Schizosaccharomyces pombe: one gene and its partner. The gene in region 1 interacts genetically with each later gene. Each region holds a gene or a part of one and is shown in the gene's direction. Other genes may lie near its edges. The genes, in order: erv46 and SPOM_SPBPB2B2.18.

Region 1 (4,153 bases):
GCATCGGTGGAAATAAAAGCGCAAGTGCAGTATAACAAAACATACAAGCATAACCAACCTTACAAGCGCTGTGTGTCTTGCCTTGCAAAACCTCTATTGGGATGTACACCTAAGAAGGACTCTACTTAGGAAGGTGAAGGTTGTGGGGGTTTGGGTTCTTTGGGGGCCACTTCAGGTTATCCTAGATAAAAATATTCGGTGCTCTCTGTTGATGATTTGATGATGATTGCCATAAGTTCAATCAAGCTCCGAAATTCCATACCACTGGATCGCCAAGTGCAGTACATGAGGATAGATAGATTGGAAGCGACGGTCGAGTAGATATCGGATGGCCGAATGGGCAGAGAGTGTTGGTCGATAAAAAAGGTGGAGGAACCTCCAACTAGTACATTTACGAAAGGGTTATGATGGGAATGAGCAAAAGGTGGTCTCTCCTTGCAGGCAAAGAATGAGGAGGAAAAGGAGTAACGAGAGGTTCCTCTGACATTTGTGTGGATATGCACTCATGTGATTACAATTACCCTTTCCTAAACCCGATCTGTGCTTACACTTCGTATTGTGAATGGTTGTGAATTACTTAGGCATACATAGTGCACCATGAGAAGTCAGCGAAACAAGGTTGGCCCAATATGGAGAACAGCCATACGCACGAGTGTGTTGGAGCGTCTTTTCTGCGATTGCTGACCAAATAATGAATTAAGCTTTTTTTAGGATGGCGAAAAATGGGGAAAAGACATAGGATAATGACTGATGTACATCAAGGGAAACTCATCAAATCGCACAAGTTGCCGGATCCTGTGTCTCCCAAATACCCATTTACAAGGCATCCTTGTACATCTTTCTTGTTAGTTGCGCATCATAACGAAACCAGCGGTGCTAGTATACAAGGTATTTGGTTAAACAGTGTTGGCGACGGTGATGCTTGAAATTGAGTCATACATTGATGGTATCCGTATTAGACATGCTAAAAAAAAAAATTTGTAGTAGCGTTGCGTTTATCCCATAGTGTTTGGTTTAGGTTTATATTAGAGAAGCTTGGATTCCGCTTATTCAACAAGCGCTTATTCGAAAGTGCTTAGATCGCATAAGCGCTTATTGAATAAACTGTGTAAACTCAATAGGTAGTTCGGATTGTGCTTGCTAAATAGTACTTGGATTGTTTTTTAGTCAATAATACTTAGATTTTGTTTAAAGACAATAATACCTGGAACGTATACGCACTTATACTTGAACTATATTTACTCAATCACACTGAGTTGTACTTAATAACACTGAGTTTTCCTTTCAAATTACTATTTGTCTTCTCTTTTTTAGTTAATTGATCTACTTTTTCCTCGGCGTTTACATTAAACTCCACGTTAAAACTGAAACGCCTTTTAGGCTCCCTTAGAATACATTCCATTTGAACCCATATATATCTGATTTTTCAATAAACAATCATAATCCCTGTCAAACTAATTCAATCCCTCTTTGCACCTCTGTCTATTAACCTACTTCTAGTCCTGCGCTTGGGTTGACCCTCAACGTATACTTTCCCCGACTACCTCAAGCCCCCTTAGTCAAGTTGTTTCGACAATTTCCAAATATTTCATTCTGGGAATGATCGTTTTTCAAGTTCAAGCACATTATTTTATATAAGATTTGGTGGTCAGCATTTCACAAAGCTCTAACATAACCGTGCATAGTTGGAACCACTGAGGTGGGCCCTTCTAATCCTTTAATCCAAAAAAAGTATTTTCAAGTTGGTTCAAAGAACTGCTTCTCCATATAATCGTTTTTTTCCTCTGTATTATTGTTACAAAAACGTATCTATCGACCGATAGTTTCAAAAAATGCAATTCCGTTCACCCCTTAGGCGTTTTGATGCCTTTCAAAAAACTGTCGAAGATGCTCGCATAAAAACTGCTAGTGGCGGTCTTATAACACTCGTTTCCGGACTTATTGTCATTTTTATTGTTCTCATGGAATGGATCAATTACAGGCGAGTCATCGCAGTCCATGAAATCATCGTCAATCCCTCACATGGCGATCGAATGGAAATCAATTTTAACATCACCTTCCCCCGTATCCCTTGTCAAATACTTACTGTCGATGTCTTGGATGTCAGTGGTGAATTCCAGCGTGACATCCACCATACCGTTTCTAAAACGAGGTTGAGCCCTTCGGGCGAAATTATAAGCGTTGATGATTTGGATATTGGAAATCAACAATCTATTTCTGACGACGGAGCCGCTGAATGTGGTGATTGTTATGGGGCAGCCGACTTTGCTCCTGAAGATACCCCAGGTTGTTGCAATACCTGTGATGCCGTTCGAGATGCGTACGGTAAGGCACACTGGCGAATTGGTGACGTTGATGCCTTTAAACAGTGTAAAGATGAAAACTTTAAGGAGCTTTATGAAGCTCAAAAGGTCGAAGGTTGTAACTTGGCTGGTCAGCTCTCCGTCAATCGAATGGCCGGTAATTTCCACATTGCTCCTGGACGATCTACTCAAAACGGAAATCAGCATGTTCATGATACACGTGACTACATTAATGAACTCGATTTGCATGACATGAGTCACTCCATCCATCATCTTAGTTTCGGCCCTCCTTTAGATGCGTCTGTCCACTATTCCAATCCTTTAGATGGAACAGTGAAAAAGGTAAGCACTGCCGATTATCGCTACGAATATTTTATTAAGTGCGTTTCCTACCAATTCATGCCTTTGTCTAAGAGCACACTTCCCATAGACACAAACAAATATGCTGTCACACAGCATGAACGTTCTATTCGTGGCGGTCGTGAAGAAAAAGTCCCTACCCATGTTAACTTTCATGGCGGAATCCCTGGTGTATGGTTTCAATTTGATATTAGTCCTATGCGTGTTATTGAACGTCAAGTACGTGGCAATACCTTTGGTGGATTTTTGAGTAATGTTTTAGCTTTGCTTGGGGGCTGCGTTACACTTGCTTCGTTTGTTGATAGAGGCTATTATGAGGTTCAAAAGTTAAAGAAAAATTGATCAGATTGTTTATGCACTAAATTTGTTTTGTTTTGTTTTTCGTTCTTTTCTTTTCTTCTGTTTGGTCCTATCGATCAATGTAAATACCATCGGTTTCCATGGCAAGTGCCTGATTTGTAACTTTAGATACTCTATTTCCTATACTATTCCAAATTGATACCACTTGATATTTCATGACTCGCTTATCAATCACAAATTGCTTTTAGCCTCGTTTAGCAAACAACCACTCGCTATATTCACATTGAAGAGCATACGAACCACGCACTTTCTTTCCCTACATCTCAATTCATTTCTTTTAATGTTAAACTCGTCTTCTTTCTAATTAAACATACAAAGATAAAGATCTTTCTATCTGGTGTATTCAATTTTACAAGGACATATAGTATTAGATATATTCGCTTTCCGAACCTAAAGTATTGTCTTGATTCTATAGCATTTTAAATAAAAAGGAAATTAAAATGAATTGAATTGTCTTAAAGTATTAATAAAAATAAGTATTATTTGTAGTACGAGTGATCAAAATTTTTTTAGTTTTTTTTTAGTGCACTCCAAGGAAGATCGTGCCAAGCGGAATGGTATGAGTTGTCATATCCATACACGCTCTTCTACCATAAGCATAACCCCGAGACCGACAATCATACGTCTTAGAAGCCACAAGGAAAACCGATCGTTTCCATTGGAAACCAATTTCCCTTTTCCAAATACATACATTTACAATTAGCGCTCTTTTGTACGGTGTGATCCTATAGAAACGGTTTCGAAAAATAGCAAACCACAATTTGCTGCTTTGGATAAATCACTTTTAGAAAAGCTTTCGATTTACGTGTGAAAACGGTTTTAGTATAGTCGTTATTAGAGCTGCATGGAATCGTGGAGTTTATTAAAGATTTAACAAACGAATTCAACTCGAAAAAAGAAATCCAAAACCAACGATTGAGTTTTTTTTTTAAAGTGTAAATATAATTTTTTTTTAAGAAGAGTCATTTTTAATTTGCTACTGAAATGACTGACGCAGGAAAAAAGGAGCGTGTCAGCATTTTGTGTGTTGGTAGCCCTTCCATCACGACTTTATTAGGTTGGAGGTTACAGCAAAGCTCAGTTGTGACATGCCAAGAAACTATAATGTTTTTCAATGCCCCCGAGCCTTC
Region 2 (3,781 bases), on another chromosome or scaffold:
GCCCTGCCACCGTCTATAACGTGATTTGTTTGTTTCGCTAAACGCTCTTAGGAAAACGGAGCTATCAGAGTGACATATATGACTTAACGAAGCTGTGTATGGCTCATGATCACTATTTAGAATTGAATGAAAACAACCAATGTCAATCACAGTGTCGAAATGCCCCTTGAATTCATTTAATCTTGAAAAATCGCGTTGATTAAAGTTGACATTACTTTTTTCACTAGATGTTTTATCGATTGCTTTAGAAATAGCCCTTTCGGAAATATCAATACCCACGACTTTATATCCAAGACTGGCTAAATATCTAGCATTTCTATTTGGTTCACAACCGGCATCTAATACATTCTCATGTAATTTCCCCAGTTGTACAAGATTCATGATCTATTCGTCTGGTTTCTCATTATCAAATGGTGTTGCGGGATCTTCATACATATTTTCCCAACTATTTTTTACTTCAGAGATATATTTCTTCATTGTTCTTAATGATATATAAAAAATGGTGAAATATTTATTTATTGCCCCATCATGTTTATTTTTATATCCTTCTTTCTCTGTCAGGAAATCTATTTCCGAGCTGACGATAAAAAAACATGTTGCAAGTCGCCGAAACTACCTCGGCTTTTATTACTATGTCCGAAAAGTGCGCGAAATATTGGAATGGCTTGTAAATTATGCATTTAGCCAAATAAAGTGATAGTAAGCGCAAAGTGTATGACTCAATGAAAATCGGGTGTATCAACTACTCAGTTGTTTACCATACAATGTATTGTAAATTATGGGTAGTGTCGTCGCTATTACATTTAAAAAATATATTATATTGAAGGTATCTAATAAGAAGTAAATGTTTTTCTGTGTAATAATAGTGAATTCTTCTCATCAAAAATATAAACGAACTGATTTTTCGTCACCTTATTAGGTTATACAAAGTCATAACAATGCAAAACCAAAGCGGATAGCATATCAAACTAAGAATATGACTTGCTATTAAAAATTAGTTTCGCTTGAGTTTTATTTTAAGAGTAGTAATAGTCAGAATTTATTGTGCTGATACACTTCAACTTACTTGATTAATAATTGAAAAAGAGAAATTTACAATTGAAATTGAAATGGATGGATTTGAAACAAACCATTCGTCAACATCACCGCTACTTTAAAAATGCTACTGTACTTGCGAGTATAACTACACAAAAGTACATATTTAAGCGATTGCATCAAGTAATGTCATATATAGAAATACAATAATATAAACGGAGCACAAACTGAACCTCGTTCTTGATATATCAAGTCCTCTTTATTGTACCATAATGTTGTATGTCGTTGTGCTATATTTTTTTGTAAGTTACAATCATACTGATTGGCATAGCTTCTGCTTTTAACATAACGGCGATCAAGCCATATTTGATCAGGTTAGGCAGAATTCCAATGATTGCATTAGAAGGTTTAGATCTTCAAGTCAATTTTACGATTACAAGCAAAGGAGAAATAGCAATCAAGCCAGTATCGAATACTCATTACACGTATATAGCAAGATACTATGGAATTGTTATCGTGATATGAATCTTGATGGTGGATTATTATAGCCCTGGTGCAGATCACTAATATCGGTTTTCGAGTAAGAATGATTCTTGCTTTCTGACCTAGTGACTTTCTCAATAGAGAAAAGTATAATGACTTGAAATTTAGAAAACGTTCTAATGGAGTTAATGGAGTGAGTTCTAATGAAACGAGGAAAAAATTTGTTATGATATACTACGACGCATCCAAATGTAAAGGATCGGAATTTAGATGAAACCGATGGTACTTCCGAGTAAATGTACCAACAATATAATAAATAAATCAGCAATTTTACTGCTAGACAATATTTCACTGTGAGGCTTAGTCTTGGTATAAATAGAGGGACTCTGTCAAAACAAATATTTTGAACTAGACTCGAATTCTTCATAATTCTATTCACTTGAGTGTTTATTTTTTTTAACAATGCCATTACATTTACGAGATATGTGGATATCCACTGACGATTATAAGGATGTTTTACTTACGTGTCCTGTGTGGTATGAAATTAGTGAAAGAGAATTAAATCATGCTGTTTGGGGACAATATTAAAATGGTGAAGTTATAATGAAACAGTTGTTGGAAGCGATTAGTTTCAAAAATTAGCGACTCGTATTTTGTTTATTATTATTATTATTTTTTCTTTTTTTTTTATTCGCTGTTTTAAAATTGTTTCCAGCAATCTTCTTCCTGTTCTCTTTTTATCCGTTTGACAACACATTTTGCTAATGCTTTTTTTTTTTTTTAGTTCAAAGAAGACTGGTACGAGAAATAAACAAGTTCAGTAGTTTCGAAAGCAATTGGCTCTTTCTTTTGTTTTTAGTCCGAGTATGTCGTCAGTTGAAAACCGTAACGGTTCTCATTGTGCCTGTTCTTCCGGTTTATACGAATAAGGTAAGAACATTCAAGAAAGCGTTTGATATGAAGTCTGTTCCATTATTGCTCTTAGTGCCTGACAAACGTTGTTAGTCTGTTTTGAGTTTACAAGTTTGTTAAGCTAATAGCCATTCATTGATCTTCATTGTTACATGCTTTCCATGGAATAGTTGGAGGTGTTTACTTTTCAACTTGTTAGCGATCGCTTGCTAACATTTTTAATAATAGGTACTTTGTTGTTCTCAGTGTGACTGGCACGAACCAGCAAATGTTTACTCGATTGAACAAAGGCGTAGTCATGATGATGATCTTCCTACCATTAAGGGTTCTGATGCTAGTACTCAACAGTATGAAAGAAAAACTTATATTACCGATGCTAGTCCCGAATCTCAGAATCTGTTTTTAAGCAAAAGTAAAGAGGAGGGAGTTATCTTCTTATGCATACAAGTAAGCTTTTAACCTTGATTCTATTTATTCACTTTTACCATTTACTACTTTCGCAAATTCCTGTTTTTTGTTGGGGATATGAAGGGGAATATAAGGGTAAAGTAGATGAAATGGATGTATTTGAAAGTTGATTTGGATTCGATTTATTACTTTGAATCCCCGTTTATTATTATACGTTTATGTCGTTTTAAAGAAAACCATGCGATGTACTATATTAATTTTGTAAAATATATATTATAGATAAAAAAATTGTTGGGAAAATGGGAAAGCAAGTTGAAAATAATTAAATTCAATAAATTAGCAAAATATGTTTATGAAGGTAACCAGTTTTTTCTTTTTATTTTTTTTTTGTCTATATGTCAGATTCGCAACTTTTAAGTTTGAACAAAACATTATTTCACATCGACTCAAAGGTTATGTGTATTTAAAACGTTCCAGTAAAAAAATATTCATTTGTAAAAAATAAATAGGTGGTATATTAAATAAGAATGAACTTACTACACAATTTCTGTGTAAAAAAGTGAGATTAAAATAACTGGATATTAATCCATTGATAAACAAATAATAAATAAAATAATCCCGGTAACCCCTTTAAAGGTGAATCAAGTAAACCATGGTTTTTGTCAAATCATTTTCTCTTGAGCCTCTTCAGCTACATTTCGATTGTAGGCAAGTGCTTCATTATGGGTGGGAAACATTATGTAACATGGAAAAGCAATTTTCTCCATAAAAGTGAAAAGATCACCAATGATCACCGACAGTCTGTAATCAAAGTTTCCAAATATAATATTCGACAGGTAATGCAACATTGGAGATGCACAGAATATAAAGATAAATGCATTTAGCATTCTTCTAAAAAATCTGGCTTTTGAAGCATTTTCGTAAGTTGTTACAGACGTGCATT

The links.
Region 2: mutations in erv46 (region 1) and SPOM_SPBPB2B2.18 together harm fitness more than expected from each alone (negative genetic interaction), as found in Schizosaccharomyces pombe (one large-scale study listed by BioGRID).

Annotation. Positions count from the first base shown.
Region 1 is NC_003424.3:210,886-215,038, reverse strand, and holds erv46 (COPII-coated vesicle-associated protein Erv46), read left to right. Parts: upstream 1-1,515; 5' UTR 1,516-1,832; coding exon 1,833-3,005; 3' UTR 3,006-3,325; downstream 3,326-4,153. Other genes in the region: SPOM_SPAC24B11.07C (oxidoreductase), read left to right, coding at 4,008-4,153.
Region 2 is NC_003423.3:4,500,410-4,504,190, forward strand, and holds SPOM_SPBPB2B2.18 (uncharacterized protein), read left to right. Parts: upstream 1-2,282; coding exon 2,283-2,316; intron 2,317-2,377; coding exon 2,378-2,448; intron 2,449-2,658; coding exon 2,659-2,877; intron 2,878-3,117; coding exon 3,118-3,255; downstream 3,256-3,781. Other genes in the region: ftm7 (transmembrane helix domain-containing protein), read right to left, coding at 1,547-1,987; SPOM_SPBPB2B2.19C (transmembrane helix domain-containing protein), read right to left, coding at 3,501-3,781.